Rattus norvegicus: one gene and its partners. The protein of the gene in region 5 purifies or fractionates together with the protein of the main gene of each other region. This does not show direct contact. Links are inferred from orthologs where the notes say so. Each region holds a gene or a part of one and is shown on either strand. Other genes may lie near its edges. The genes, in order: Prpf4, Tssc4, Sf3b4, Ttc27, Eftud2, Aar2 and Ppih.

The links.
Region 1: the proteins of Eftud2 (region 5) and Prpf4 purify together in Homo sapiens (affinity purification with mass spectrometry; 4 studies listed by BioGRID and IntAct, with this or other methods). This does not show direct contact. The link is inferred for Rattus norvegicus from reciprocal best matches to the Homo sapiens genes EFTUD2 and PRPF4.
Region 2: the proteins of Eftud2 (region 5) and Tssc4 purify together in Homo sapiens (affinity purification with mass spectrometry; 4 studies listed by BioGRID and IntAct, counting the BioPlex papers as one, with this or other methods). This does not show direct contact. The link is inferred for Rattus norvegicus from reciprocal best matches to the Homo sapiens genes EFTUD2 and TSSC4.
Region 3: the proteins of Eftud2 (region 5) and Sf3b4 purify together in Homo sapiens (affinity purification with mass spectrometry; 3 studies listed by BioGRID and IntAct, with this or other methods). This does not show direct contact. The link is inferred for Rattus norvegicus from reciprocal best matches to the Homo sapiens genes EFTUD2 and SF3B4.
Region 4: the proteins of Eftud2 (region 5) and Ttc27 purify together in Homo sapiens (affinity purification with mass spectrometry; 5 studies listed by BioGRID and IntAct, with this or other methods). This does not show direct contact. The link is inferred for Rattus norvegicus from reciprocal best matches to the Homo sapiens genes EFTUD2 and TTC27.
Region 6: the proteins of Eftud2 (region 5) and Aar2 purify together in Homo sapiens (affinity purification with mass spectrometry; 5 studies listed by BioGRID and IntAct, counting the BioPlex papers as one, with this or other methods). This does not show direct contact. The link is inferred for Rattus norvegicus from reciprocal best matches to the Homo sapiens genes EFTUD2 and AAR2.
Region 7: the proteins of Eftud2 (region 5) and Ppih purify together in Homo sapiens (affinity purification with mass spectrometry; 3 studies listed by BioGRID and IntAct, with this or other methods). This does not show direct contact. The link is inferred for Rattus norvegicus from reciprocal best matches to the Homo sapiens genes EFTUD2 and PPIH.

The regions. Positions count from the first base shown.
Region 1 is NC_086023.1:80,874,136-80,878,310, reverse strand, and holds the start of Prpf4 (U4/U6 small nuclear ribonucleoprotein Prp4), read right to left. Parts: upstream 2,801-4,175; 5' UTR 2,726-2,800; coding exon 2,699-2,725; intron 2,026-2,698; coding exon 1,848-2,025; intron 1-1,847. UniProt on the Homo sapiens protein: Plays a role in pre-mRNA splicing as component of the U4/U6-U5 tri-snRNP complex that is involved in spliceosome assembly, and as component of the precatalytic spliceosome (spliceosome B complex).
Region 2 is NC_086019.1:207,681,070-207,684,744, reverse strand, and holds Tssc4 (U5 small nuclear ribonucleoprotein TSSC4), read right to left. Parts: upstream 2,201-3,675; 5' UTR 2,083-2,200; intron 1,834-2,082; 5' UTR 1,769-1,833; exon of another isoform or gene 1,659-1,768; 5' UTR 1,650-1,658; coding exon 684-1,649; 3' UTR 501-683; downstream 1-500. UniProt on the Homo sapiens protein: Protein associated with the U5 snRNP, during its maturation and its post-splicing recycling and which is required for spliceosomal tri-snRNP complex assembly in the nucleus.
Region 3 is NC_086020.1:186,420,361-186,424,466, reverse strand, and holds the start of Sf3b4 (splicing factor 3B subunit 4), read right to left. Parts: upstream 2,801-4,106; 5' UTR 2,564-2,800; coding exon 2,530-2,563; intron 2,153-2,529; coding exon 2,024-2,152; intron 1,580-2,023; coding exon 1,037-1,579; intron 812-1,036; coding exon 605-811; intron 1-604. Other genes in the region: Mtmr11 (myotubularin-related protein 11), read right to left, coding at 3,921-4,067. UniProt on the Homo sapiens protein: Component of the 17S U2 SnRNP complex of the spliceosome, a large ribonucleoprotein complex that removes introns from transcribed pre-mRNAs.
Region 4 is NC_086024.1:26,451,237-26,455,465, forward strand, and holds the start of Ttc27 (tetratricopeptide repeat protein 27), read right to left. Parts: upstream 2,801-4,229; 5' UTR 2,634-2,800; coding exon 2,534-2,633; intron 1,929-2,533; coding exon 1,751-1,928; intron 1-1,750.
Region 5 is NC_086028.1:88,332,658-88,336,157, forward strand, and holds part of Eftud2 (116 kDa U5 small nuclear ribonucleoprotein component), read right to left. Parts: intron 3,104-3,500; coding exon 3,038-3,103; intron 2,363-3,037; coding exon 2,327-2,362; intron 278-2,326; coding exon 187-277; intron 1-186. UniProt on the Homo sapiens protein: Required for pre-mRNA splicing as component of the spliceosome, including pre-catalytic, catalytic and post-catalytic spliceosomal complexes. Component of the U5 snRNP and the U4/U6-U5 tri-snRNP complex, a building block of the spliceosome.
Region 6 is NC_086021.1:165,520,524-165,524,023, reverse strand, and holds part of Aar2 (protein AAR2 homolog), read right to left. Parts: intron 2,842-3,500; coding exon of another isoform or gene 2,797-2,841; coding exon 2,040-2,796; intron 1-2,039. UniProt on the Homo sapiens protein: Component of the U5 snRNP complex that is required for spliceosome assembly and for pre-mRNA splicing.
Region 7 is NC_086023.1:138,206,781-138,210,732, forward strand, and holds the start of Ppih (peptidyl-prolyl cis-trans isomerase H), read right to left. Parts: upstream 2,801-3,952; 5' UTR 2,777-2,800; coding exon 2,711-2,776; intron 2,533-2,710; coding exon 2,468-2,532; intron 2,149-2,467; coding exon 2,125-2,148; intron 1,866-2,124; coding exon 1,821-1,865; intron 793-1,820; coding exon 750-792; intron 379-749; coding exon 286-378; intron 1-285. UniProt on the Homo sapiens protein: PPIase that catalyzes the cis-trans isomerization of proline imidic peptide bonds in oligopeptides and may therefore assist protein folding. Participates in pre-mRNA splicing.

The DNA of each region.
Region 1 (4,175 bases), on a different chromosome or scaffold from region 5:
CTGCCATGCCATGAGACGCTAAGGAAGACCCTGCCCCAAAGTGGCTCAGAGACCATTCCATGTGATGAACTGCAATGTCTTTATTGTACAAAGTTTTTTTGCTCTTATAGAGACATAATGATTCAGTTATGAGGAAAAGATTTAACTTCCTCAGCATCAAGTATCAAATAGTTTGATCTTTGGATTATACTGTGTTAAAATGTCTGATTATTTAAAACCGCTGTTTGGCCACAATAACAGAGAGATGGGGAGAAGCTCAGGGTGAGAGCTCAGTGCCTGTAAGTTCAGCACACAGAGGCAGCACAGAGACCACCGGATCAATGTCATACTTGGCCACAAGGTGAGACTGAGGGTCATATAGACCTTGTCAGGGAGAAAGGACAGAAGGAAGGGCTAACAGCAAGAATATTCACTATCTGAGCTGCTGATTAAAAAAAGAAAAAAACAAAATCAAAGTACTATGAAAAACATTTGAAATATTCTCACTTGTAATATTAAAATTTCAGGCAAGATTTACTTCTTTATTAATAAGTAAGTATGTCCATCTCATTAACACTCAAATTTCCTTCGGTGTTTAGAAGTAAACTATGTAAAGCTGCACATATACACCCTTCTATCTTACTTTTTAAAGCTTACCACTCTCAGCTTATTAAATGATGGCAAACACATAAACCTAAGTGATGCTTTAGACTGAGAGCAGGAAGATGCGGGCTACCTCTTCCATTTATTTCATTATCTCTTTACATGGCTTAGAACATCTCTCATTTGGAAAGCCTGACAGAGATGTTGCTTCTTGCCTGCCATCTGCTGAAACAGTACCTCACACACATTAACTAGTGAGAGGAAAAAATGATCGTGAAACACGGGACTCCTCTGACAAATAGGAAAGGCTTTTTGCGTACTATGGTGACTAGCTTTGAAACTCACAACAAACACTCACATTGGGAATGAAGACAGGCTTGAAGACATTAAGAATAGTGGAAGTGTGTATGGATAAAGTGTGAGGATTTTTTTAAATGCTCGTAATTACTTAGTTAAATCAGTCAGATGCTGGCGGCACATGTTTTCAATCCCAGCACTCTGGAGACAGCAGCAGGTGGACCTCTGAGTCTGAGGCCAGCCTGGCCTAGGGCTACACAGAGAAACCTTGTCCCGAAAACCAGAAACGAAAATGAAAACACAAACAAAAAACCCCACAAAAGTAAAGGAGAGAATCCTATAAACAGTTATGCATTAATGCCAAAACTACATTACCTCTCCCAAAGACAAATACACCTGATGAATCCAAACCCAAACATCCACTGAGTATGCAGATAACCAGTAATTCCTGCAAGGAACTGTATAAAATGTAAGAAAACCACTCGCTGGGTAATGCCAGGTAGGCAAAGTAGATTGAGGTAAAAACAGAAGGGTAAGGTTGTATGCATGTGCATGTGGAAGTTGGTATGTCTCCCCAACATTCGATTCCACCACAATGAGCTTTAAAAAAAAAAAAAAGAAAGAAAGAAAAAGAAAAAACAAGCCAGCAAAAAACGTGAGTTCTGGGGCTCAATCTCAGATCCTAATGGTCACACAGAAAAGCTTTCGGCACCTGAAGTAGCTTCCCAGACCAATAAGTTTTGATCCTATAACATGACTCATCAGAGGGGCACAGTCGTGTACACCTGATTCTAGTACCAGGGAGGAGGCAGAAGCAGTGTGAGGTCACAGGCAAGAGTGTAGTGGAAAGATGAGAATGTGGTTCAGTGGCAGAACAGTTGCCTAGCATGCAAAAAACCCTGGGTTGGATTCCTAGCACTGTTAAAAAAGGGGGGGAGGGGGTGTGTGATTTTCAACTTGCATCTTACCAGACGTTATATTAATATTTCCTGCTTCAATGCCGGCTTTGAGTCCTTCTTTTCCCAAAATCCCAGACTCTCCTTTGGCCAGGCGTTCCCGCTCTTTCTCTTCCAAGCTTCCATAATAGATGTGTGGTTTCTTCACAACAGGAGCAACTAAATCGTCAGGTGCTTTAGTTTTGGTTGTCTGTTAAATCAAAGACCCCGATTAAGGTTTGGTCCTAGCAAACCATGCTTTCCAAAAGAATGAAGGAAATGCTGAGCCTTCATTTTATTTCCTCTCACAACTAGGACAAAGTCGAAAGTGACTTTGCGCCGAGCTCACGCTCTCGTTAAATTTGGCACACAATTACAATTAAACAATTTCTGTCTGATATGTCTTGGTTTGTTTTGGGGCCTGTTACTTTAATCTATTCGAAATGCAATCTCCGATTTTACGAAAATAACTTCTCGCCACTGGACATACACCCAAAACAACCCAAACAATTCGGCGCACCAAGTCACAATGTTACTGGAATACACATTTCAAATACTTTCAGAGCCTATTAGAAGTTGGGAGGCCTCATAAGTACCAGTCGTACAGCTTACGTCAAGACACTGCCCGATTTCAAAGAACTGTGCTTTGGAGCAGTCAGAAAAAGTGTTGTTCACTGCTCAGGGCTTAAGTAAGAGCAGTGCAAAAAGAGCTGCAGTTTAGGCGTTTAGAAATCAGGAAAAGGCTGCTAAGGTCCACACCACGGTCCCCCAGCCTTCCTCCTCCTCCTCCTCTGCCCGGACCCGTAAGGTAACGGCCCTTTCCCACGGGGACCGCGTCCTCCCTAGGAGAGGATAAGCATGAACTTAGATGCGGAACTCCGTACCGTGGAGGAGGCTCGTGAGGAGGCCATGCCGGGCTCTGGAGCCGCGAGGCCCTAGCCAAATCCCGTTCTGCTTTTCAGACCGGGAACCGCGCGCCTAGCAAAGTGGAAGTGCGTCACTGGCCGGAAATGTACCAGTTCGTGCTCTAGGAGTCGCGAAGTATCTTGGGAGTGGTAGTTGCCAAGTGTCGGCTGTCATCGATGGGCGTGGCCTTATAGAGCGGCACAACCTCTCGGGAGAAGAGGCGCGTGGGAAAAAAAGGCGCAGAGCAACTTGGGAAGTGTAGTTCGGGCTGCGTAGCAATGGAGTCAAGGTGGGAGTTGAGGTTCTGGGAAGCTTCAGAGGCCTGAAAAGAGGTAAGTTTGCGAATCGCAAGTCTAATCTGGAACAAACCAAGGGTCTCTGCTCTCCTTCGGGAGGCCTTCCGTCATTTTGAAACCGAGGCCTGTGCTGCCATTGAAATCTCTCCCTAGACTTCTGCAGCATTGGAGCTGGGAAAGAGGACTGTTGTTCACGACGGAAGTTCTCCGGGGGCCCCTGGTAACTGGGTGGCTACGAAGTGATTTTGTGCTTTAAGAAGACATTAAACTCGAAGAGCCTTCTAAGGCTAAAATAGAGATGTGGTGGAGGAGCTGCGGCCTAGTTTGTTGTTGTTTTACTTGTCTACAGCCTGTTCTTTTTATATGTTCTTTGAAATAAAGGGTCCAGGGAGGCGCCAGATAAAGTGTATACCAGCAGCTGCAGTTGCAATGATTGCTAGGCCGTCAGAGATATTTTTTTTTTAAACCCTTACATGAAAGTTGCGGGGATTGCAAAATATTCGCGTTTGCTGAGCTGAACAGACTCATTCTCACTCTTAAGCCTCTTTCTTCCCCGAACAACTCCAGTTAGAAGAGCACTTCCACTTCGAGGGCTTACTAAATGCCACGTTACGCGCAAGGAGCTTATTCTATCTTAGTTATTTAAGTCGCGGGACAACAAGAGTAAAGATCAGAAAATAAATTCTGGTGAGAAAAGGTAATCCGTCGTTCTGGAGCCACAGTGTAGTAGGGTTAGTAATGTGGCGGGTGGACTGCCGCGCTTTTAACCCGTACTCACTGTTGCTCTCTAGTGGTGAGGCTTTCAGTTCATACCCAAGTAGGAAATTATTTTTCTTAAGTATTTCTTCCCTTTCTCTTTGGAGCTGGCTTCCATTTCTCTACTTAGGGATCTGGTAGAAGGTAGTATCTGATAGAATAAAGCAGTTTGAATTGTCACAGGCCAGTGTTTTGTGTTGACCATATGGCCCCTTGAGATGTGATATAATGTGACACTCCTGAGAGAAGTGTAAGAAGTGTAAATGTTTCGTATACATCGTAGTCTTTTGTTTCATTCTGCTAGCATGCAATAATAATTTATATGGATGCACACTATATCGGAACTTTTTTTTTGCGGAACTTTCACGAAGATCATTATCACAACTTTTTATTCTAGTGGTCT
Region 2 (3,675 bases), on a different chromosome or scaffold from region 5:
GGTGCTTAGCAGGCCAGGCTGGCTAACTTGGTCCAAGTCCCTGGCCTCCACATGAAATACTCACTCGTGCATCCTTCTCCTCCTCCCTGGCCCAGCTTCAGCTGAAGGATCTAGCATCAGCTGTGTCTTATACAGAGGTCACAAGTCCTGGAGACATACAGCCCGGACACCAACCATTTGCTGGCTCACAACTTATCCTCTTCCTAGAACCCGTGGTCTGTGCGGGCCCAGTGCTGGGGCTGCACTGGTTTCTGGGGGGCAGGGGGACCATATTATGCTCATCCAGTACCATCAGGGGCACAAGGCTGAACACAGCTACGAGCCCACTCCCTCTGGGTAGGTTACCAGTGACAAACATCAATGCCCATGGCAAACCTTCACAGCGGTCCTCACTAGAGCGGGGAAGGCAGGATGAGGCTGGTAGAGATGCAGTCCTGTAGTTAGCTGCCCAGGACTGTTTGGACATAACTCTTGAGTGGGGCCGAGAAAAATTCACGAAATTCAGTAAATACTCAAAACCTTTATTATTCACCCCAAACAATGGGGCACAAAGGCCTTCAAGGTCCCCTGACCCACAATTCCCAGTCTCTGCCAGAGTTGAGGCCCACACATCCCTACTACAGAGAGCCCACACTGTCCCACCTGGACTGGGCAGGTGAGGAGGTAGAGCGATGGCACTGCAGTCAAACTGAGGGTCCTCTCTCAGACCCTGGCCCCTCCGGGTTACTATCCCTGTTCCGGAAGTGGTCTCTGCTCCGCTTCTTGCTGCCATGGAAACCAACAGTTTTCATACCTATGGGGCCTGATGAGGACTCAGGACGGGCAGCTTCTGAAGGCACTACCACCTCTGGCTGTCCCTGGTGGCCACTCCATTCCTCAGCCTCAGGCCCGGCGAGATGGGCTAGCTCCACTGAGGCCTCACCCCCTGCACCTGACACAACCCCCTTCTTTAGGACCCTCTTCCTCTCAGCCCTAGCCTCGCTGCCCCGCACTGGTTTGGTGAAGACCACTCTTCCCTCCCCACAGCTAGAGGGGTCCTGGTTGAAAAAGGGCACATAGTCTGTGGGGGATGCCTGGCTTCGAGAGCTCAGGAAGGCCAGGGCAGCATCACGATTGCTCTGCTCACTGGTTTCAGACACATCTTCCAGACTGTATTTGGTCCAACGCTCAGGGTGTGACACATAGTCAGGGACAGGGTGTACCCTGGTCGGGTCAGTGTTCCCATGCACTCTGCTCAAGCTTCTTGCTGGAGTCTGACTTGGGGGAGCCACAGGCCGCTTGAAGCTGCAATTGTCAACCACACTGGTTTGGGGAGCAGAGCACGGTTCCTGCCGGGCTGCACTCTCCAGACAATCAAAGATGCTGTGGCTCCGCTGGGAGAAAGTGGAGCTCATGCCTCGGAGGTGGAACGGCTGCACTGCAGTGGTGGGAATGCCCGTGGGGTGCGAGGGAGGGTCATCAGGGCCCGAGTCCTCCTGGCTCTCCCCAGAAAGCCTCTCTGGGGACAACGCTTGGACCTCCACACCACTAGGTAAGCTGAGGTCAGAGTCCGAGTCGCTGAGGGAGACGGTGTCAGAAGGCAGGGTGTCATCCTCGGTGGGTTCCTCAACCTCCAAGCCGGCCTCTGTCTCCGCCATAAGACCTGACATCCGTCCCACCTGTAGCAAGGCAGTCCCAGTTCTGCCGTGAGGGGTGTACCTAATGCCGCACCCCTCCCCGCCCTCCCGGGCTCTTTCACCTCCACTGTGTGCCAGGCGCCTCTACTCACAACCGGACCGGAGGCCTCGCGAAGCTGGGTGGCTAAAGGGTATCCTAGCGTGCACAGATGTGGAGCTGCAGGTTAGGTGGGGTTAAGGAGAGAGTCAACCATGAGATCATAACAGTGTGGACATACAATAGATGAGCGCTGGGAGATGCTGGTGACAGGGGATCTCCATCAGCGGCTCGTCCCATCACGAGCTCTTAGCAAAGCGCAGCCTCTCTGGGCACACACTGAAGGCACCACCCGGGGTCCGGAGGGGGAGGTGGCAGAAACAGGCACGGTACTGGCCTGGTCGCGGCCCTAGGGAGGCCAGTGCTCACCGTTCCAGCATCCGTACACGCTTCAATAACCTGCCACCTTTCCCGCAGCGTCCCGCCAGTTCCACGGGATTCCGGCCTGTTCAATCTCGCTTGGATTCCTGGGAAACCGAGTCTCGGGCTATCAGAATATTGTGGCTTCAGCGCCCGAGAAACTACAACTCCCAGAAGGCAATGGGGTCACTGCCTAATGCCTGCCGGGACTTGTAACATGTGTGCCATCCCGAAGACCGGAGCGCACACGGAAATCCACCCAGAAATGACGAAAGGGGAAAAGGCGGAGCCGTGATTCCCACAATACTCTAGGGTTAACTGCCAATCGCAAAGGGTTGAGGCTTCTAGCGTCGTCCGTCGGAAGCCACCTGGGCCGGGTCCGACACGAGGAAGTGCGTCACTACGCACTGCGAGCTACAACCAGTTTCCCAGACACTTCCGGCCCTGGGCGGAAGTGGTGCGGGTCTTGTGCTTTGTTGGCTTTCTGGAGTTGGGCGGGACCAAGGTCCTGGTTGGCTCTTGGCGTATAGAGACGTGGTGGTCCTTGTAATGGGTTGGTTGGGGCTTCATAGATTCGAGGCCGTTACCGTGGGCACTGCCTGTCTGTGCTTCCTGACACAGGCACGGACGGACGCTTTAGGTGCTGGACGCTGACCCTACTATTCAAGGCCACACATAATCCTCCTCCAGGCCTGGGACTGTTTTCTTGCATCCTTAGACACCAGAGTCTGAGGATCCACTGGGCTGCTGCATTCTCTCCTCCTTTACTATGTTCTTGAAGCTGTGCAACAGGCTTCCAACAGCCTTGGCCTGGTGCCCATGGGCCTCACAACATAGAATATAAAGGTTCCCTCAGAAGCCAGCCAAGCATGGAACAGGTTGCCCTGGCGTGGTGGGTGGAGGTGGCTGAGACCTAGAATGCCCTAGTACAAGCTTGGGGTTCACCGACAAATCAGCCTACTGCTGGGACCTGAATCTTAGCCAGGACTTCTCCTCTCTAGTGGCCAATTAACCCAGCAGCCTGGGGGAGGGGTGCAGACAGGAGTCAAAGAGAAAGACAGTGGTGGTTGCCCCTTGTGTCCAGGAGGTTGCTTTAGCCTGATCCTCAGTTCACAGGGGTGAGCTCAGCGGACTGCCTTTTATTTCTTGAGACACAAGCTAGAACCATCCAGCTCAGTGGAATATTTCCAACACCTAGATACCTGAGATGGGGTAATGGTCTAACCTTTACTGTCTTGTCCCTCAAAAGGAAAGTGTTCTTGCAGTTTATCCCCAACATTCTGTGCTGGATTCCCCTGCCTTGTGGCTCCTCCTACCCGACTCAGCCGACCTGGCATTCCCAACAGATGAGTGGAAATGAGGTCAAGGCTGGTGTTAGGTCAGCATTGAGCTCCCAGTACAGGGAGGTACAGAAGTGAGGGAGTACTCAACATGGAGTGCTCCCAGGGTCCCAGCCCTCCCCACCCACTGTGTTCCACAGGCTCTATTGGACCTGCTCACCCTGTACCTGGCAAAGTTCAGAGCTGACGAGCCAGGTCTCTGACACCACTGGCACAGGAAGAGGTCTGGCAGTCCCATTAGCATGCCTGATTTTTTCCTCCT
Region 3 (4,106 bases), on a different chromosome or scaffold from region 5:
AGAGTTGTGGACTGGGCTCCTACAAGTGAGAGCCATTGAAGATGGTGTTGGAAAGAGAAAAGTAAACTGTGGGTTGAGCAGCAGCCTTTTCTAGTCTACCAAGAACCTCAGAACAGAGACCCAGAATAAATCATAACCTTCACATTTAACACTACAGATAAACACAGAAAAGAGAACCAAGCACGAAATCTACACATACATAAAAAAGGAATTGATCCAGGTTGCTAAAGTTGACATTAGAAAATCTAAAAATACATATGCCTTTAATCCCAGCACTTGGGAGGCAGAGGCAGGAGGATCCCTGAGTTTAAGGGTAACCTGGTCTACAGGGGGAGTTCCAGAACAGCAAGGTTTACACAGAGAAACCCTGTCTCGAAAAACCAAAAGCAGAAATGTCTTCTAGATTTGGCAACCTTGGAAGCAGAGGAGAGGTTGAGAGCTTTTGCCAAGCACAAGCTATAGGTGGAGATAACACAGGAGCACACCAACATGTACAAAGTATTGTTTGTTTTCTGAAGAAAAGGACTCTGGACTATTTCCACCCAAGACAAAGAGCACTGGGAGAAGCAGTACAAAGGCCCCTCTACAAGCTCAGCGCACTTACCTGGATGGGGCATCCCACCTGGTGGGAATGGATGAGGATGTGAATGTCCATGACCAGGATGTCCAGCCCCTGGAGTTCCTGCTGCTGGGGGACCATGTCCTCCAGCCCCAGGTGGCATAGGTGGTGGGGGCATTGCTGGGGGTATCCCAGGAGGAAGGGCCCCAGGAGGTGGCACTGGAGGTGGGAACGAACCAGGAGGTGGCATTCCTGTTTAAGAAATGAAGGACAATTAGTGGTATCGGACAGAATGTCTTTCCCAGCATGCTACACTCCAGCTTCCTAAGGACATGCACCAACTTCTTCCCTCCCACCAGCATCCTCACTCCTCCCTCACTGCCCACTGACTTCACAGCTTACTCTTCCAGGGCTTCCTCTGCCCCCTGACCTCCCTCCCATGGGCCTCACTGGCATAGTCTGAACTACAAGCTGTACCTGGTGGAGGAAGCCCAGAACCCAGGGATGAAACCACAGGATTGGGGGCAGAGGGTGGAGGGGGTGCATCGGCAAACAGCTGATGAGGGCGGTCAGCCTGAGACAGCGGGTTCTGGGCTGCCAGAAGTCGTTCAGCTGCTGAGCCATGTCGTTCACCCTTAGAGTCCTTCTTGAAGGCATAAGACACAGTGATAGGGCGGTTACACAGGTACTGCCCATTCATGGCCTCAATTGCTGCATCTGAAGCATCAAATGAAGCAAAATTAATGAAGGCGTAACCCTTGGAGTTGCCTGTGTCAGGGTCCCGCATAATCTTGGGGGTCTGTAAGATGACTCCAAAGGCGCTAAAAGTATCGTAAAGCAACTTCTCATCAATTTCTGGGTCCAGATTTCCAATGAAAATGTTGGCTCCTACATCCAGGTTTTTGTTGTGAGCCGAGGCTTTGTTCACCCGTATTGGCTTCCCATAGAGTTTGATCATGTTCATAATCTTAATGGCATAGTCAGCATCTTCCTCACTCAAGAATTCAACAAAGCCATAGCCTAGGAAACCAATGAAAAAAGACCACTCAGGTGAAGAGATTCAAAATCAAACATTAACTCACCAGTTTGCAAACACAAAGAACAAAGCAGGTAAGGGCTGGGTGGGGGCTCATGCTTCTAATGCCACCATGCTGGAGCAGAGGTGGAGCCCTGAGTTTGAGGCCAGCCTGGTCTACAGAGCATGTTCCAGGACAGCCAAGGACTACACAGAGAACCACTGTCTTGAAAATAAAACAATAAAAAGAACATGACAGAAGAATAATCTTACTTCACTTGAGAATGGTTCCAGTAACTAGTGCTAAGAGAAACTATTCCAAAAACTGAACTGAAGCTTAAGGGGGAAAAGAACCTTTAGGTTGCTCATTCCAAAGTAGTTGTGACTGGAGTTGTGACTCTTCAGGGGCCGTTAACGCTATACAGGGTTAATTCTCGACATGTACTCACCTTGGTGCTGGCCAGTGACTCTATCCTTTGGCATGTGGGTGTTGACCACTGGCCCTGCCTGGAGAAAGAGCTCCCATAGCAGTGGCTCGCTCACTTTCTCGTCTAGACCTCCCACGTACACCGTGGCATCTAAAGGGAAGAAGCAGGAGGTAAGGAGAGGGTCAAGAGTGAAAAGTAAAATAAAAACCAAAAACGTTAACTAAAGACCCGAAATTCCCTCAGCTTCCACAGTCTAGAAAAATCCGCTACGTCTAATTTGGCATTCTTGCTGATCCTGTATTTCCGGAGAATTTTGTCTTCTTGGTAGAGGAGTATTTAAAGAGAATGGATCTAGAAGCATCACTCTTCATAGGCCTGGGCCTCCACTTGGCCTCGAGGCGAGCCAGGCGCCCAGAGGTCGGTCTCACATCAGAGGGATCTCGTCTCCCACCCAAGCAGAAATGCTTCTGGCATTAATCAGCTCTTCACTTCCCTGCCCCTATCTTGGTCTCTTTTCTCCCAATTACCCTGATTCCGTTCGGAGATCGGTCCGGCAGCCATGGCGAAAGGGCTCCCGCCGTCTCTAAGCAGCAGCACCGCCCCCCTGACCTCAGTTTCTACTTCCACTTCCGGGCCAAGGCTCACATTGGGCGGGGCCGGCGACAAGGGAGGAGCCGGAAGCGATCGCGGCCATCTTAGGAGTCAGATTCGTGTCGGACAGAAGGGAAAGGTGCTCTGGAGCTGCCGCAGCAATCGGGGTGGAACAGAAGTGAATCAGCCGGTCTTGATACAGTTAACTAAAGCCCTGAATGCTTCCAGACTGTTAGGGCATCACACTGCACCCCAAGCGCAAATTGAAATGCTAAACCAAGCTTTGTATGTTCTGTGACGCAGAGACGTGTGCTAGGCAAAGTCCCGCCATATCCAGGGCCAGGACTGCCTTTGAAAACAGCCTATTTTTAATTCGGTCCACAACGCTCGTGCAGATTCGCCCTCGGCCTAGGCTTGAGCTCGAGGTATTTTGGTTTCCCGTAAGTGTCAGAGCTCCTCCAATCTTGGGAAATTTGAGACCGAGGGTGCTCACAGGCAGGTATTGAAGCTTTAAGAGGCAGGTGTGGATCTCTGAGCTAAAGGCTAGCCAGGTCTACAGAACGAGATCCAGGACAGCCATGGCCTCACAGAAAAATCTGTCTCGGAAAAAAAAAAAAAAAAATTCCAGGCTAGCCTGATATACAGAGAGACCTTGTCTCAAAAAAGGTGTGTGTGCGTATGTGTGTGTGGGGCGGGGGGGCTTTCCCAATATTTCATGTGCATTCTGCCCAGCCCTGCCAATCCTTTATTTCCTTACAATAATAAGTGTCCTTTTCTCAGTTCACACTACCCCACAACCACCACCGCTTTGCTGAGATCTTCATTCAATACAAGAAAATACCAGCAATGTGTAGAAATACTGTGCTTTAATGAACTCCTTAAATAGAAATGCTGCTACAAAAATATACAGTGGGAGGAGGAGGTGTCTCCCTTATTCACCTCATTCCCACAGAAGACTAAGAAAAGATTTCAATGTAGTGTTGAGGGGTTGAGAATGAGGTCTCTAGGACACCTTGCTGGGGCTGATGAAAAGGGTCTCTGATATCATACTTTTGACAACCATCCAAATGGCACAGAATTGCCTCGAAAAAAGGCAATCATTCTGAATTGGTTTTGTTTCTTATTTTTCAAATCACAAGAAACAAAAATAGCTCCAGGAACCAAACGAGACAGGAGAGCTGGAGGTTGGTAGCACCATCTACAGAAACTGGCCTACTAAGTGAGCTTTACAGACTGGAATACCAAACCCGAAGCACCAAGGTCAGACATAAACATCAGCAGAAACAAACCCCCGCCCTCTGCCCTGCCTTTGAGATGGCTAGCAGTTTCAGCAGATCTGAGAAAGGATAGTATTTGGATCTCTTTTCTTGCTGTGGTCCTCCGGAGATATTCTTGGTGTCCATTTTCTTAATAGTTCCTGAAGATGAGACAGCTCATCTTGAAGGCCAGAGATTGTGAGAGCTGAAGAGCCTATCTGGGGAGAGGCAAAGGAAGGTGCAAAGAGAGATTGTCA
Region 4 (4,229 bases), on a different chromosome or scaffold from region 5:
AGGAAAGGAAGAGGGGGGTGAGAATGGGCACCACAAGGCTAACTTCACACAGTACAAACACAGCAGCCAACCAACAGGGACCAAGAAGAAAGCCAGGCCTGACGCTGAAGCCTGCAATCCCCACTGGAGGCTGAGGCAAGAGGATCACAAGTTCAAAGCCACCCTGGACAACTTAGTAAGACCCTGCCTCAAAATAAAAAGCATAAAAAAGGGCCAGGGATACAGCTCAGTGCTAGAATGTGTGTCTAGTAAGTGAGAAGCTGGAGGCTCAACTCCAGTAACAAAAGAAGAAAGAAAAAAAGAAGAAGAAGAAATAAGCTGGCCATGGTGGTGTATACCTATACTTCCCAAATTTGGGAAGCTACAACAAAAAGATTATGCATTAGAAGCCAGCCTGAAGTTTTTTACTGCAAGCTTCCGGCCAAATGAGTAATACAGCAAGACACAGTCACAAACAACAACAAAACCAAGAATGACACTAGCAAAAATTAGAAAAACTGAGACAGAATTGTATTAGCTTGCAAATAAACAGTAACATCATCGCCAAACTACTTACGACTATGAGTTACATCTTTATTTATTTTTACAACCCAACCTCAGCAGGTACTTGGTTTAATTCGTCGAAGGACTATATGAAACGAGTCTGCAAACATCAGGATAGAATGAAACTGTATGCACTCTAAATGGTTAAGAATTTTGGAGGGTTGGGGATTTAGCTCAGTGGTAGGGCGCTTGCCCAGCAAGCGCAAGGCCCTGGGTTCGGTCCCCAGCTCCAAAAAAAAAGAAAAGGAAAAAAAAAAAAAAAAAGAATTTTGGACAGCTGAGAAGGGGAAAGCTAACAAACATAGGACAATGAGACAGAGGCCTCCAGAAGGCTGAGAGTTGACTCATGTGTAGATATCCTAACGGAAGAATGGTAACTGAGGGATCTATGATAAACACATGGAGTTCCCTGATATCTCCAGAGATAACGACCCAAAACACAGTAAACGTAAATGCAAGCATCTCTCAGGAACCTAGAAACAGCAAGATCCAAGGTACGGGCTACACGTTTAAGAAATTTTAAAGTAGATGCCTCTCGTCCCAGCCTGTGAGAGACAGAGGACATAGAACTCTGGGCGTTTGAGGCCAGCCTGGTCTAGAGTGAGTTGTAGGCCAACGCTACATAGTGAGACCCTGTCTCAAAACAAAACGGAAAAAAAAAAAAAAAAAAAAACCAACAGCAAGCAACATCAAAGGAAACAAGCTGATAGCTAATACTTATCAGACATAAGCATTGGGACATTTAGCAGTGACCACCAAGGACATGTCATTCTTGTACAAAACTCACTTCGATCCTACACCACTCTCCTTTTCCATTCTAGAAGATCTTCTGGACCAGAGAGAGACCTTACGGAGACTACTTGGCACATCGTGAGTCCAGGTATTTCAACAACTACTAGATACCAGGGCCTTCCAGTGTCAAGATGCCACAAAAGTATTCAATATTTATTTATTTATTTATTTGAAGTATATGAGTGTTTTGCCTAGGTGTATACATACATACTACACATGTACTTAGTGCCCACTGGTGTCAGAAGAGGGTGTTGGATCTCCTAGAACTAGAGTTATACAGTGGTGAGCCACCAAGTGGATGCTGAGAATTGAACTTGGGTCCTCTGAAATAGCAGTAAATGCTCTTAACCTCTAAACCACATCTCCAGCCCCCACCCAGTGTGTTTCTCTGTAGAAATTTCAAATAAAATTCTACCTTTCAATTTCTTCCAAATCCGTAGAGCAATCCAGGAAATTCACTATCTGCTTCTCCAGGTAGCTGTCAATCTTTTCTTCGGCCATCATTGTTGAATTTAAAATATTCTGTGTTGTTGAATGCAGGAACAAGGCCTCATAGCTCCCTTCTAACAGCAATTCTAAGAAAACTCCAATATCTGTAATATAAAAAGTGAGTTCAGTAACACAAGAGAATTTAAGTGTAAATGATAATCCATTACATAAATATCTTAATATGCAAAAAGATAGAATAGTGGCTGCACACTCTAATTCTGCCAACAAACATCATCTTTCCTACAATTATATGATACCTAGAAAGACTATGAGCAGCAGATGGTGATGGTGATGGTGATGGTGAAGATAGGAATTCCTTCTTCAGGAAATTCACAAATATTCTAAGTGACACAGGAAAGCTTTCCTTCCTACCTTCAATATTCTCCCCCAGGAAGCCAATCCAAACACATCGGTTCTCTCATGATCCCCTCATATTTCCCCAGGCACACGTTGGCCTCGACATTTTTACAACACTGGTTTGTTTGCTTGCTTGCTTGCTTGCTTCCTGCTAAACTCTCTTTTACTCGTCAGTTCTAAATTTAAAAATCAGCTCAAGTCTGTCTGTCGGAAACTTTTGCCAGACTACCAGATCTCAGACCATCAAGCGAAACTTCCTCCCTCCTGACACCTCCTATGTATCGAGGGCTAGCATCCTTTGTCCTCACAGCTCTGGCACTAGCCTAACTCCGCGAAGGTACAGCTCTCTCACCTGAACCACAGATGCCCTCCTGTTTCCATAACAGCCGCTCTGCCTCCGTGGAGAAGCCCCTCAGAAGCGCCAGCTCCGGCGTCCATATCACCCCCGGCATCGCTGCACCCCGTACAGTGTCCCACGAGGGAGGAGAAAAGCGAAAGTGAGAGGGTCCAATGTCGCCGGCGTCTAGTCAGGACAGGTAGAGTAAAGACACAAGCCTAGAGTCCCATGTGAGGATCCATGTACATGGAGGCAGACATGACAGCAGCGCAGGGAATCCTGGGAAAACAAACCCACGCTGGAGCAGCTTCCTTCTATACGACCAATCGGAAACTCAGTTGTGAGCATGCGCAGAGCATAACTCTAGCGGGATCCGGGTAGTGGGAATGAGTTGAGTGGCTCCGCGTGCAGTGATCCCAGTGGCCAAGGGTTGTTTCTAGGAGAGATGAGTGGAGGCAAATCTGCTTGAAAATATGCGACTACGTGAGGCAAAACTAAGCCCTTGGAGGTTAATACACCGAGGCTTTTCTCTCAACAGACGGGGAGCAGACTGCAGAAGTTGCTTCTAGTGGAGCCCTTGAGCCCCAGACTAGAACTTACTTCGTCGGCATAGGCTATCCTCTGGATGATTCAAAGTGCAAGAAAACCCAAGCTGGAAGTATAATCTTAGCACTGAGGAGGATGGGGAAGGATGGTTTCAGCTTCAAGGCCAGCCTGAGCTTCACCCTTAGTGCCAAGCCAGCCTCCTCTAAGCCTCTAGAAGATTGGTTACCCTCCTCTAGCCTTCCAAGCACGTGACATGTAAATGGTACACGAACATACCTGCAAGCAAAATGCACGTAAAATACACATACACATAAAATTAAAAAAGAGAGTGGCGGTGCACCCCTTTAATTCCAGCACTCCAGAGCAGAGCAAAGGCAGGCAGATCCCTGAGTTCAAGACCAGCCTGCTATACAGAGCTAGTTCCAGGACAGCCAAGGCTACAGAGACCTTAATCTTGAAAAACCAAATAAGAAAAGGGAAAGAAAGGTCTGATTTTGATACTGTCATCACATAAACCTGAAAAGAACCTAAAAATTTCTGCAATTCAGTCGTTAGAACCCAGAACACTTTGCTGAAGTGGAAAAAAAAAAACTACAAGAAAATATATCATCCCACCAGTGTGGCAGCTGCTGGGCAGGAGGTTTGCTATTTGCCTCTTATTTTAAAGAGGATAAATGTTTTCTTTCTCATTCTGCTTCACTGTTGAAAAACAACAGCAGCCGGTCCAGCCCAAGGCTGGCCTCAGAGTGACAGAGATCTGCCTGTTGGGAGCGCTGGAGTACTGAAGCACAGAGATTGGAGAGTGGTTTGTCACCAAACCCAGCTTCAGAACTTTTTTTGGTTGGTTGGTTGGTTGGTTTGGTTTTTCTTTTTAAAAAAATTACTTATTTAGTGACAGTGAGTACAGATGGTTGTGAGCCACCATGTGGTTGCTGGGAATTGAACTCAGGACCTCTGGGACAGCAGTCAGTGCTCTTAACCACTGAGCCATCTCTCCAGCCCTGGTTTGTTTGTTTTTTTTTTTTTTTCAATATGGGGTTTCTCTATATAGCCCTGGCTCTAATTGGAACTCACTCTGTAGACCAGGCTAACCTCAAATTCATAGATACTTCTAACTCCTCTTCAGTGCTGGGATTAAAGGTGTGGCACTGCTTGGCTCTTCTTT
Region 5 (3,500 bases):
AAAGTCCCTAAAATTTAAACCCTATGGCAAAATAAAGATGGAAGTGAAGCCAAGGGCAGGAAACTGCTGCTGAGTCACAGGGAAGGGAACCCTTGAACGAGAATAAACATTAGCAACACCCTGTAGTGCCCTGGGAAATGGAGCAGAGGAACCGGATGAGGCCGTGACAGGGCAGGGCCCACCCACCTGGTGTGTCCATGATGTTGAAGAGGTAAGACTTCCCTTTGGTGTCCGGCAGCACCACCGTCACAGGAGTACTCTTGATGCCGACGCCTCTCTGAAATCCAGACAGATGCTCAGGACTTCTCCCCGAGCCGGAGGAGTCACTCAGCTCTGGGGTTAGCAGTTGCCAGCTGCTTACGTCAGACACCCTCCTTGTAGCTGCTTAGAGTAATTCTTTTTATCTAGAACTCTATCTGCCATGATTTTGTTGATAGAAAACATTCACACACAGACATACAGACACACAGATTTTGTTTGTTTGGCTTGTTTTTTGTTTTGTTTTTTTAAAGATTTATTTATTATATATAAGTACACTGTAGCTGTCTTCAGATACACCAGAAGAGGGCATCGGATCTCTTTACAGATGGTTGTGAGCCACCATGTGGTTGCTGGGAATTGAACTCAGGACCTCTGGAAGAGCAGTTGGGTGCTCTTAACCGCTGAGCCATCTCTCCAGCCCTTGCTTTTTGTTTTTAAGACAGGGTTTCTCTGTGTAGACCAGGCTGCTCTCAAACTGAGAGATCCCCCTGTCTCTGATTAGAGGCCTGTGCACTCACCCCCCCCTTTTTTTTTTTGCTTAGCCTGTATATACTAAGCAAGTATTCTACCACAGACTTACATCTCTGGCCCCAAAACTAATGTTTTGGGGGGCAGGGGAAAGAATTCAATAGGACTGAACATGGGTCTCTCACATGCTAGGTGATCAGTAACCTCAGCTCTAATGTTTTGAGACAAAGTCTCACTAAATTGTTGAGGCTGACATCATCCTAATTCTGTACCCCTGGTAGACTTTGAGCAACTTCCTTCCTGGCTGGCCTCAAACTCAGCGATCCATCCACTTGCCCCTGCCTCCTAGTCCTGGGATTAAAGGCAGAAGCCACTCCACAAAGATGGCTTTGAACTTCCAATGGGCCTTTTCAGGAGCTGCGATTACAGGTCTGTTCTACCTGTCCATCAGCAAGATGGTGCATCTCCCCATACTGCAGGGTGATTAGTTACGAAGGGAAATGAGAAGAGCAAAGCAGTGACGTAAGCGCAAAGACCCCAGGTCCTTCCTTGGAAACAAAGCCCATGAGCATCATAAAAATAAAAAGAAGGGGGATTGGGGATTTAGCTCAGTGGTAGAGCACTTGCCTAGCAAGCGCAAGGCCCTGGGTTCGGTCCCCAGCTCCAAAAAAAAGAAAAAAAAAAAAAAAAAGAAATAATCTGGGCTGAGGGCGTTTGTTTTTGTTTTTAAAGGAAAGAAATACTTAAAGGTTCTAAAAGGAAGTAAGTATTTTAAAAGGGAGAAAAGCTAGGCACTCACACTGTGCACCTTTAATCCCAACACTCAGGAGGCAGAGGCGGGAGGATGTCTGTGAGTTCAAGGCCAGCCTGGTTTACATAGCAAATTCCAAGACAGCACTACATAGAGAGACCCCATCTCACTCACAACTCCCCACACACCCCCCAAAAAAATAAGAAAAAGGGAAAAACTTCCAAAACTCCACAGTGAGGTCTGTGACAGGCACTGGGAGGCCGCAGCACATCATGTTGAGTCTGAGGCCAGCATGGACAATAGAAAAAAACAACCCAGACAAAATCCCACCACACTCAAACAGTGACTGTCAAAAACACTAACGCTGCTGTTAGGATGGCTTATCCTGGGCAACACTGCCCTAAATTCCTTTAGTTAACCCTGTGCACATGTGAGAGCCTTCCACATAGTTCGTTAGGGAAAAAAGGGACAGATTATAAAGGAGGGGACAGATCCAGGCTGAAAGAGACAAGTGGCACACAGGACTACAGCCCTTCACAGAGAAGCCCCTCCTGGAAGCAGATGGTCCCACCGGAGACATTTTAGGGACTGTGGGATACTGAAAAGATCGTGTGGAGTTTTACAAATACGAGCATCAGCTCTCATCATCATCTACTCGAGGACTGGGAGGCTCGCACCTGTACTCAGCCTGCCTTCCCAGTTCTCACTGTGGGATGACTGAGAGCAGCGAGAGAGAAGTGCAGAGCAAGGCTAAATGGCAGTGCTCCGGTGAAGGCTCCTATCCTCTACAAACCTACGGCTGGTGGGTCTGTGTAGGCAGAGTCTGATTTCCCACGACTCACTTACCTCTTGTTCTGTGAAGAGGATGTCAGTATAGCATAGCTGAAAAACAATCATGATGTCAGCGCCCGAGCTCAGACTTCTCTCCCATACGCAGACCATCAATCAACCTCCTCGCCTCCTCCCAACTCCAGGTGCTTCCCTCAGGAGGAAAACTGACTGAAGACAGCAGTGTCCCCACAGCAACCCACTCAGCGAGACCAGTGCCCTCCCAGATGGAGATGCAGGGGTGGGAGTAAGTGGACACTACAATCACGTGTGGCTGGAGAGCTAGGCTGTACACACTACACTGGATCTTAGGAGCCTCCAAGTCTCACACGTCAAACAGTCAATTTGGCTGAGTATGAACATTTATTGCACTGAGAGTTGCTGCCACAGTTGGCCTTGTTCACAGGCATTTAAATTTACCATGAAAATAACAAGGCCCGACTGTGAGATATTTATAGAGCAGGCTGTTAATAAAATGATAGAAAAGAGACTGTAAAAGTCAGGATACAGCCTGAGGAGGGATCCCAAATGCAGAACAGATCACCTAAAAATACTGCAGGTTAACATTCTCCATGCTCGAGAAAGCTCAAATTATCTGCTTACGCCTATTAATAGATTCCAATCACAGCAGCAGTCTAAAGACACCTCTATTGATGAGTGCAGGTAAGGGACTGGAGGGAGCAAGGCATCCCGCTTCATTCCCGACAGTTCAGCCCAAGTTCTACTTACATCTTGATCATAGCGCTTTCTGATTTCCGGATGCGTCTGTTCTATTAAACAATCTACAAAACAGGTCTGAAAAAAAAAGAGATGGGTAAGACCTGCAATTGTGGGAGCAAAATCTGTGCCATTCTCCCCAAGCTCCCAATGCACCACATAGTTCAGACATGAAGGAAGGTAGAGAAAAACAAAGAGAATTATGGGACAGCGAAGGATTAACACAGAAGCCACAAGATTAGTTTTCAATGAAAGATGAACTCTCTCTTGGAAAGTCCTCCCTCAGGAAATAAAGGTTATAAAACCAGAGTAAGGTTCAATTTCCCTTTCTCTGTCTAGATGTAAACACACGACTCAGGCATTTGAGTGGCTGGAATGTTGTAAGGGTTCCACAAGAGCATGCAGGGAAGGGTTATAGTAGTGTCCCCACCCACCCACTGAGCCTTAGAACTTCATAAGGCCTCAGAAGAAGAGC
Region 6 (3,500 bases), on a different chromosome or scaffold from region 5:
GAGATCTACCTGTCTCTGCCTTCCCTGTGCTGGGATTCAAGATGTATGCCACCTATGCCTGGCATGGATATATTTTGCATATTGAAATGTTTAAGAGATAGAAAACAAGATTCCTAATCATGTTTAGCAAGATCCAGGGGTTACTCATATAACATAGTATGTCATGCATTACAATGCACCTAGTAAAGATTTATTTGTTATGTGCATTGGTGTTCTGTCCGAGCGTGAGGGTGCCACATCCTCTGGAACTGGTGCCACAGACAGCTGTGAGCTGCCATGTGGATGTAGGAATTGAACCAGGGTTCTTTGGAAGAGTAGTCAGTGCTGTTACCCACTGAACCAGCTCTCCAGCCCCATGATGCACCTATAAAATATCCATTTTATCATCAGTTCAGCCAGGGATATAAAAAGGTCTATAACCAAACTTGTCACCAACCTTCCCCACTAGGAAGTTATGTGATGCCCTGGACAGTTTATAGACAATAAGGACTGGCATTAGAGGTGTTACAGGGGCTGGGGAGCTGCTCAGTCAGGGAAATGCTTGTCTTGCAAAGAACATGGACCAGAGTCCGGACCCAGAACTGGAATTTAAAAAGCTGAAGTGGTGGTACACGTGCTCTCACCCCCAGCACTGGAGAGGCAGAGACAGGCAGATGCCTACCCAGGGTCTACTCCCAGCCAACCTAGTCTACTTGGTGAGTTCGAGGTCAATGAGAGGCCCTATCTCAAAAGAAGAAGGTCCGCAGAACTTAAGGAACAATACCCCAGAGGCTAACCTTTGGCTGCCATATGTGGCACGTGCACAAACACACACAGAGAGCATGCCAAAATGTTTGTTGTCACTAATGTTCAGAAATAGAAAGATGGCAGCTTTTCAACCCCTGAACTGAAAAGTCTAAGAATCTATGCTGGGTGCTGTCAAAGGTGATGAACTGTCTCCCACCACCTGCTGAGAGAGGAGGCAAATCTGGCAATTCTTGCACAATCCAACCCTGAACCCAGGCACCTTCACCACAGTGCTCAAGAGGCTCTATTTACAACAGGAACTAGGAGCGCCTATGGAGTGGCCACTGAGAACTAGTTGCACAGCTCTGGGCTATACAGTTGTAAAGCAGATGAGCGGTGATGGAAATGCTGACAGCACAGCACAGCACAGCACAGCACAGCACAGCACAGCACAGCACAGGACATTGCCCTCTAATCCTGTCCCTAGAAAACCCACATACACTCCTACAATATACCTCAACTGAAAAGACTGGCATACAAAGGATAAGAGAAATACATAGAAACACACAGGAAAAAGAGAAAAAAGAAAAGAAAAACTGCACTCAACCATGAAGATAGTTGTTTCTAGGTATAGGACTTAGAGTAAATTTTATTTTTATTCTGTGATAAGTACATATTATTTTAAAATTAAGAGTGTAAGCAGCAATAAAACTATAACAATTAAAATAAAAATAAAAGTCCTGGTCTAAGCCAGTAAAAAGAGAAACATTTTAAGAAGTCAAAAGCGAGGTACTCTCTTATTCTCTTTCCTCAGCCTTCTCTCCCCATTCCCCTCCCACCTCTGCCTTTCTCTGTCTCTATTCCCTCAACTCCCCTCCCCATGCCCTAAATAAACTCTGGTAAAAAAAAAAAAAAAAAAAATTCAAAAGCAAACTGAGATGTTAGGTGAAGGCTTCTAGGAACACAGATCAGGCCTAGCAACTAGGAGCCTTGGGCTCCAATCTCACCGTGACCACTATTGGTCAAATCCTTCCTCTTTGCAGGGGTAGGCTATGTCAGCAATTTTCAAACATGGGATTACGTACACAGGCTCATGTAAGATGCTCAAATCATTAGATAAGACAGCCAGCCAGCTAGACCCATTTTAGAGCTCTTGACTTAAAGTCTCTAGGCTACGGGTGAAGATGCATTCCAATGACTACTAGCAGTCCACCTCCTACCTCCTTTAAGAACACTGGGCAGATAAGCCAAGATGAGCCTCTATTCTAAGCACCCCCACTAGCATCCTCCCCCAAAGCCTAGCTCCTTCTTACCAAGGACATCCTGGGGGTTGCCAGGGAACTGCTTGCTGAGCACAGTCTCGAGGGCATAGCTCAAGTCCATGCTGTGCCTGGTGATCTCTGCTGGTGTGGCACCTGCTGGGAACATCTGAGTGGGCAGCTCTGAGAAGCGGATCTCTGTCCCCGCCCTGGGCTTCATCTCAGGCAGCCGGGCCAAGCCCTCTTGGTAGCTTCTGCACTCGGTGCCACAGAGCGGTAGGTTCTGTTCCACCCTGTCCTTGGTGTACCTCATGGAAAGCACGGGAAGCACATCTGAGAAGGCGCAGATCTGCCGGCTCTCAGGCTGCAGCTTCTCCATGGTGGCCTCACTGATGAAGTTGGTGAGTGAGATCCACTTCTTGAGTGTACCATATGGGTAAGGTCCCAGAAACTGGTCCAGCTCTGGGAGATTGGCTCTCATGGCTTCTACTTCAGCCTCTGGAGCTGGAGACAGGTCTACCTCTTCCTGAACTGCATTCCAGCGCAGGACTGTCAACTCCCGCTGCTTCAGGCTAAGAAAGAAGCCCATCCGAGGGCCCACCTCCCTGGGATTGGCCTTGTCCACAGAGCTGTAGTAAAGGAAGTGGACACCAGGGGGGATCATCTTCACACCCCGGAACTTGGGCCCCACCTCCCAGGAGTTGTAGTCAATGCCAAACTCTGTCCCCTTGGGCATGTTCAGAATGACCACAGTGGCTCCTTCAAAGAAGAGTTGCTTGGCTAACTCAGGATCCATCTGCATGGAAGCCATGAGGCCAGTGGAGGGTAACCAAAAGCAGGACTCTTTTTTTGTCTCCTAGAACAGCAGAGAGAGGCAGGGGGTGGGAGAGAGTGAATGAATATGAGTTGACCAGAATATGGGGAAAGGCTATTTTATTACTTGCACATTCTCTATATCAAATATTGAGTTAGATCCTGACAGAAATTAACTCCCTTTAATCCCCATGACAACCCTGCATCTGTCTAACAGATGAGGAAAATCAGGATCGAAGAGATTTGGGGGTGTGATTTAAGGAGCAATAGTCTTCATTCCACCACGCCAGGGGCATCCCTTAAAGACAGGTGGCCATACAGTACCAAATGCAAACCTGCCCGCTGGTACTGCAGGCTTGTGTCTACTGCCCATCAGATGTCTTTCTCTCAACAGCAGGGGAAGGTGGAAAAGGTTCAAATGGCTCATTTTAAACTAGAACAATGCAAAAGTCATCTTAAGCTACAATTCTACCTAAAACCTGCTACTGGAGAATACCATAAGATCTGTCAAAGACGACCAAATCAAACTGGCTACCTAATTTCCCATGAGCATCTAAAGTTAACAAAAAGTCTGAGGTGTGGAGGAGAGCTTTTCAAACTCCCTTCTTTCACTCATCAACAACCTCGTTGAAAATGAGGGAGAAGAAAGGGCTGGTTTCCTAGTTTAAAGACAACATGGCAGGGTGCAGTGGTACACACCTG
Region 7 (3,952 bases), on a different chromosome or scaffold from region 5:
CTCACGGCAACCAGGGCAACAACAGGTGAGCACCAACCGTGGAAGCCCATTGAACACTGAGGCAAAAGCCCAGTCTTGGTACATATAAAGGCACAACACAAGTCAGAGCTTAGTCTGCTTTCTACAGCTGTGAAAGCCCACCCAACAAGATCAAACCACACTGAGGAAGGAGGAGGGGCTAGGTGCAGGTGAGGCCTAATTCCAAGGGACAGAACTGGGTGTCAAGGCACCAGAAACCAGTCAGTAATCTAATCTAACCCCAAATCTTAACTGAACCTCACTTACCATGGAAAGCAGGCCTGGAGCCGAGTGTCTAAGTTTAAAATTTTCATCTGCAAATGGACCCCGGTAAATACTGGCGACTCCAGTACCATCGCCCTGAGTAGAGAAGAGACACATCAGTGGCCTGGAGTGTTGGGCACCCTGGAAACCAGATGATAAGGCCGGGGAGAATGGTCCACAGGTAAGGGGAGCCAGCCAGCCAGCTGTCCTAGCTGAACCAAGCAGCTTTTCATCTAGTGCAACCTTGTCATGAGGCAACAAGATAGTGACTGACAGAGGGCGTCAGATCCCATTACAGAGGGTTGTGAGCCACCATGTGGTTGCTGAGATTTGAACTCCGGACCTGTGGAAGAGCAGTCAGTACTCTTAACTGCTAGACCATCTCTCCGTCCCTTAGCTATTATTCTTAAATCTCAAGACTGGGCCTTGCTGGAAAAAAATTAACAAAGAAAAAAAGCAGTACTTACATTAACAAAATCTCCACCCTGAATCATGAAATCCTTTATGACCCTGAAAGAGAGTTAAAAAAAATCCTGAGGGAAGATTCAGTGGTTCAGCCACTGAAGTGGTAGATTAGCATGTCTTCTGGAGTTCAGTGTTTATCACTGAGGCTTAGAGAAAGTCTTTGTCCCTGGGGTGAGCCAGCTGAGGGATTAACAGTTTTAACTCAGGGGCCCCTTTTAAGTTGCCCTCAGGTGTATGAGTCAGCACCTCAACAACAGAAAGGAACTGAAAACCTGGCAGAGACACACCTACAGTCACCAAAGGAAAACAAAACAACATCATCAAAAAACCACCTCACTTTGGGGAAAGAGAACACAACGTGAATGGACTGCTGCACACACTGAAACTCGAGGATGATGTCAGCTAGTGTACCCAGGTCCTTAGCTTTGCTTAGCCTCTTTTCCCTACCTTGCAGAATTCAGAAAACACATCATAACACCTCACAAGAATGCCAGGGGAGGATTACAGACTGCAGCTCTAAAACCCTTGATATGGGAGACAATGGACATTTTCAGGATTAAAATGGAGCAACTTCTGTCAAACTCATAAGTAAACATAGAAAGCCAGGAGATCGTGAAGGTCAGGTTCCTACAGACGACTGCCTGGTAACAGTGGTTACCGCAAAGTCTCTGCTAAGTCATAACCCAGAACCAGGGAGGGTTCAGCGGGTAAAGTGCTTGCTGTGCAGCCTAAGGATCTGAGTTTAGATCTCTAGGAACATGTGGACATGCTCCTGTACTGAACAGGTACTGAGTAGGTACAGAGTGCTTTCCCTGGCACTGTTTCTACAATCAATATGACATAAAGTCAGGCATGACTTAAGGCACTGTGCACAGACTACATGGTGCTGAGTACCGAATCCAGGGTCTTATGAATGCTGGGCAAATTCTCTACCAAGCTACAGCCTCAGCCCTGAACATGCCATTTAAACAACAGACTTAATCCTCCACAGGTTTTGGATTCAGGTGTACAGGACTGCCTGTACAGATACCAAGAGATGACTGCATTTCCAGTTTGCCAAAAGCCTTCCTTACCTGTGGAAGGTGCTTCCTTTGTATCCTATCGGAACGCCGTCTTTTCTGTAAACACAAAGGAAGACACTAGGAATGATGAAAAATAAACGTGGGTCTTCCCCATTTAGGATGCACGAGAGGCTAAGAGGACTCTCACTAAGATCTGGATGGGAGAAGAGATAAAGAACACATCCAAGGAGTCATCTTCTCTCTGCATATCATCTTTCATTACTAGAGACCTGTTCATGGTTCTCCAATACCCTCACCAAACGTCCAGGTCACCCTTCAGGAGTTGGTGGAGAAGTCAAACACATCTGAGACTGACCTGAATTCTCCAGTGCAGAACTGCCTAAAAAGAAAGAAATCAAGAAAGAAACAGTGAACGATTCAGCCGCCGTACCATCACTGCTTGGAGCACCTCTAATCTCTGGAGAGGAGAGTTCAAACACTGGGGCCAGCATGCCCACTAACTAACTGATCGGGCAGATGTCAGGGCACGTAGACTAGTGATTTAAGTTGATATGGGATCGGTCAAAGTCGGTAGCTATTTGGCCAGTGCAATACCCAGAGCACTACTCTAAGGCAATGAATAAATGAACAGAGGCAGACAAGGCAAAGACTGAACCGAGGGCTCAGCTCTGGTTCACTTGGAGCATACATATCTTTACCTAAAGTTCTCTGCCGTCTTAGGCACCACGTCTGCAAAGAGCTCGATCTTCATGCGACCAACTTCCTGCAAGAAACGGGAGATGCAATACTCAGCCCACGACCGCTGTCCATGCAGCTCGGAAGCTCCCACCTCCACCGCCTGACCCAGCCTATCTCGGGAGGGCTAGAAGGGCCCCCTCGGCTGCCTCCTTTACCCGAGTCCAGTCAGCCCGCACAGGCCCGCTGGGCCGCCCGCATCTCACCTGGCCGCCAATACTGACATCAAAGAAGACCACTGGATTGACGGGACTTGAATTTGCCACCGCCATGGCTTTGACTCGGAAGTAGAAGCCTAACTTCCGGTGACAGGTCCCGCGAACTTCATCGGAAACGCAGACGCAGTGGAAACAGTCCGCGGTTGCGCCCCGCCCCGGAAGTGTGGCAGGTACTGAGGGAATTTTAGCTGAGTTGGTCCGAGCTGCGGGAAGGAGCGCAGGCGTCTTTATCAAAGTCTATGGGCTTCTCCACTCTCTTGACTGTATTAGCGTAATACAAATGAATCTTTTGCAGACAGCTTTTCCCGAGCAGTCACACTTGGTGTCCTCTGTTACAGCCCATGAGAGGAGGACCCTCTGGGTCACATTCCATATTTTAAAATGGTATGTTATGTAGGGTTGACGAAGTCGCGATGCTGGAAATGTAATTTCATTCTTTTTTATGATTGTAAAATGTTTTTATTTTTTAATCGATTCACTTTACACCCCGAGATCGCTGCCCCCTCTCCTGGTTACCCCCTCCTACAATTTCTCCCCCATTCCCTCTTTACCTTTTCTTCTGAGAGGGTAGAGATCTCCTCTGGTTATCCCCCACCCCCATCAAGTCTCTGTAGGTTAGGCCCACTCTCTCCCACTGAGTCCAGACAAGGCAGCCCAGCTAGAAGAAACAGCCAGGCATCTTTTGGGATAGCCTCTACTCCAGTTATTCTGGACTCACATGAAGACTGAGCTGCACATCTGCACTGTGTGCGTGTGCGTGTGTGTCTAGGTCCATCCTGTGTATGTTCTTTGGCTGGTGGTTCCGTCTCTGAGAGCCCCAAAAGATCAATGTTAGTTGACCGTTAGTTTTCCTGTGGAGTTCCTATCCCCTCAGAGGCCCTCAACACTTCCCCCAACTCTTCCTTAAGAGTCCCCAAGCTCCATCCAATGTTTGGCCATGGTTCTCTGCATCCTTCTGAGTCAGCTGCTGGGTAGAGTGTCTCTCAGAGAACAGCCATGCTAAGCTCCTGCCTGCAAGCATAATAGAGTAGTATCATTAATAGTGTCAGGGATTGGTATTTGCCCATGGGATAGGTTTCTAGACTCATTTCTGTCACAAGCTTTTAGCTCATTTGATATAGAAAGTTTCAGGTTTTAAAACCTTTGTGCTAGTAATTTCACTTTCCAGTTAATCTCTTATTGTCCTTATTCAAGTATGTGTTTATTTGGGGACTTAAAAAATTTTTTTTA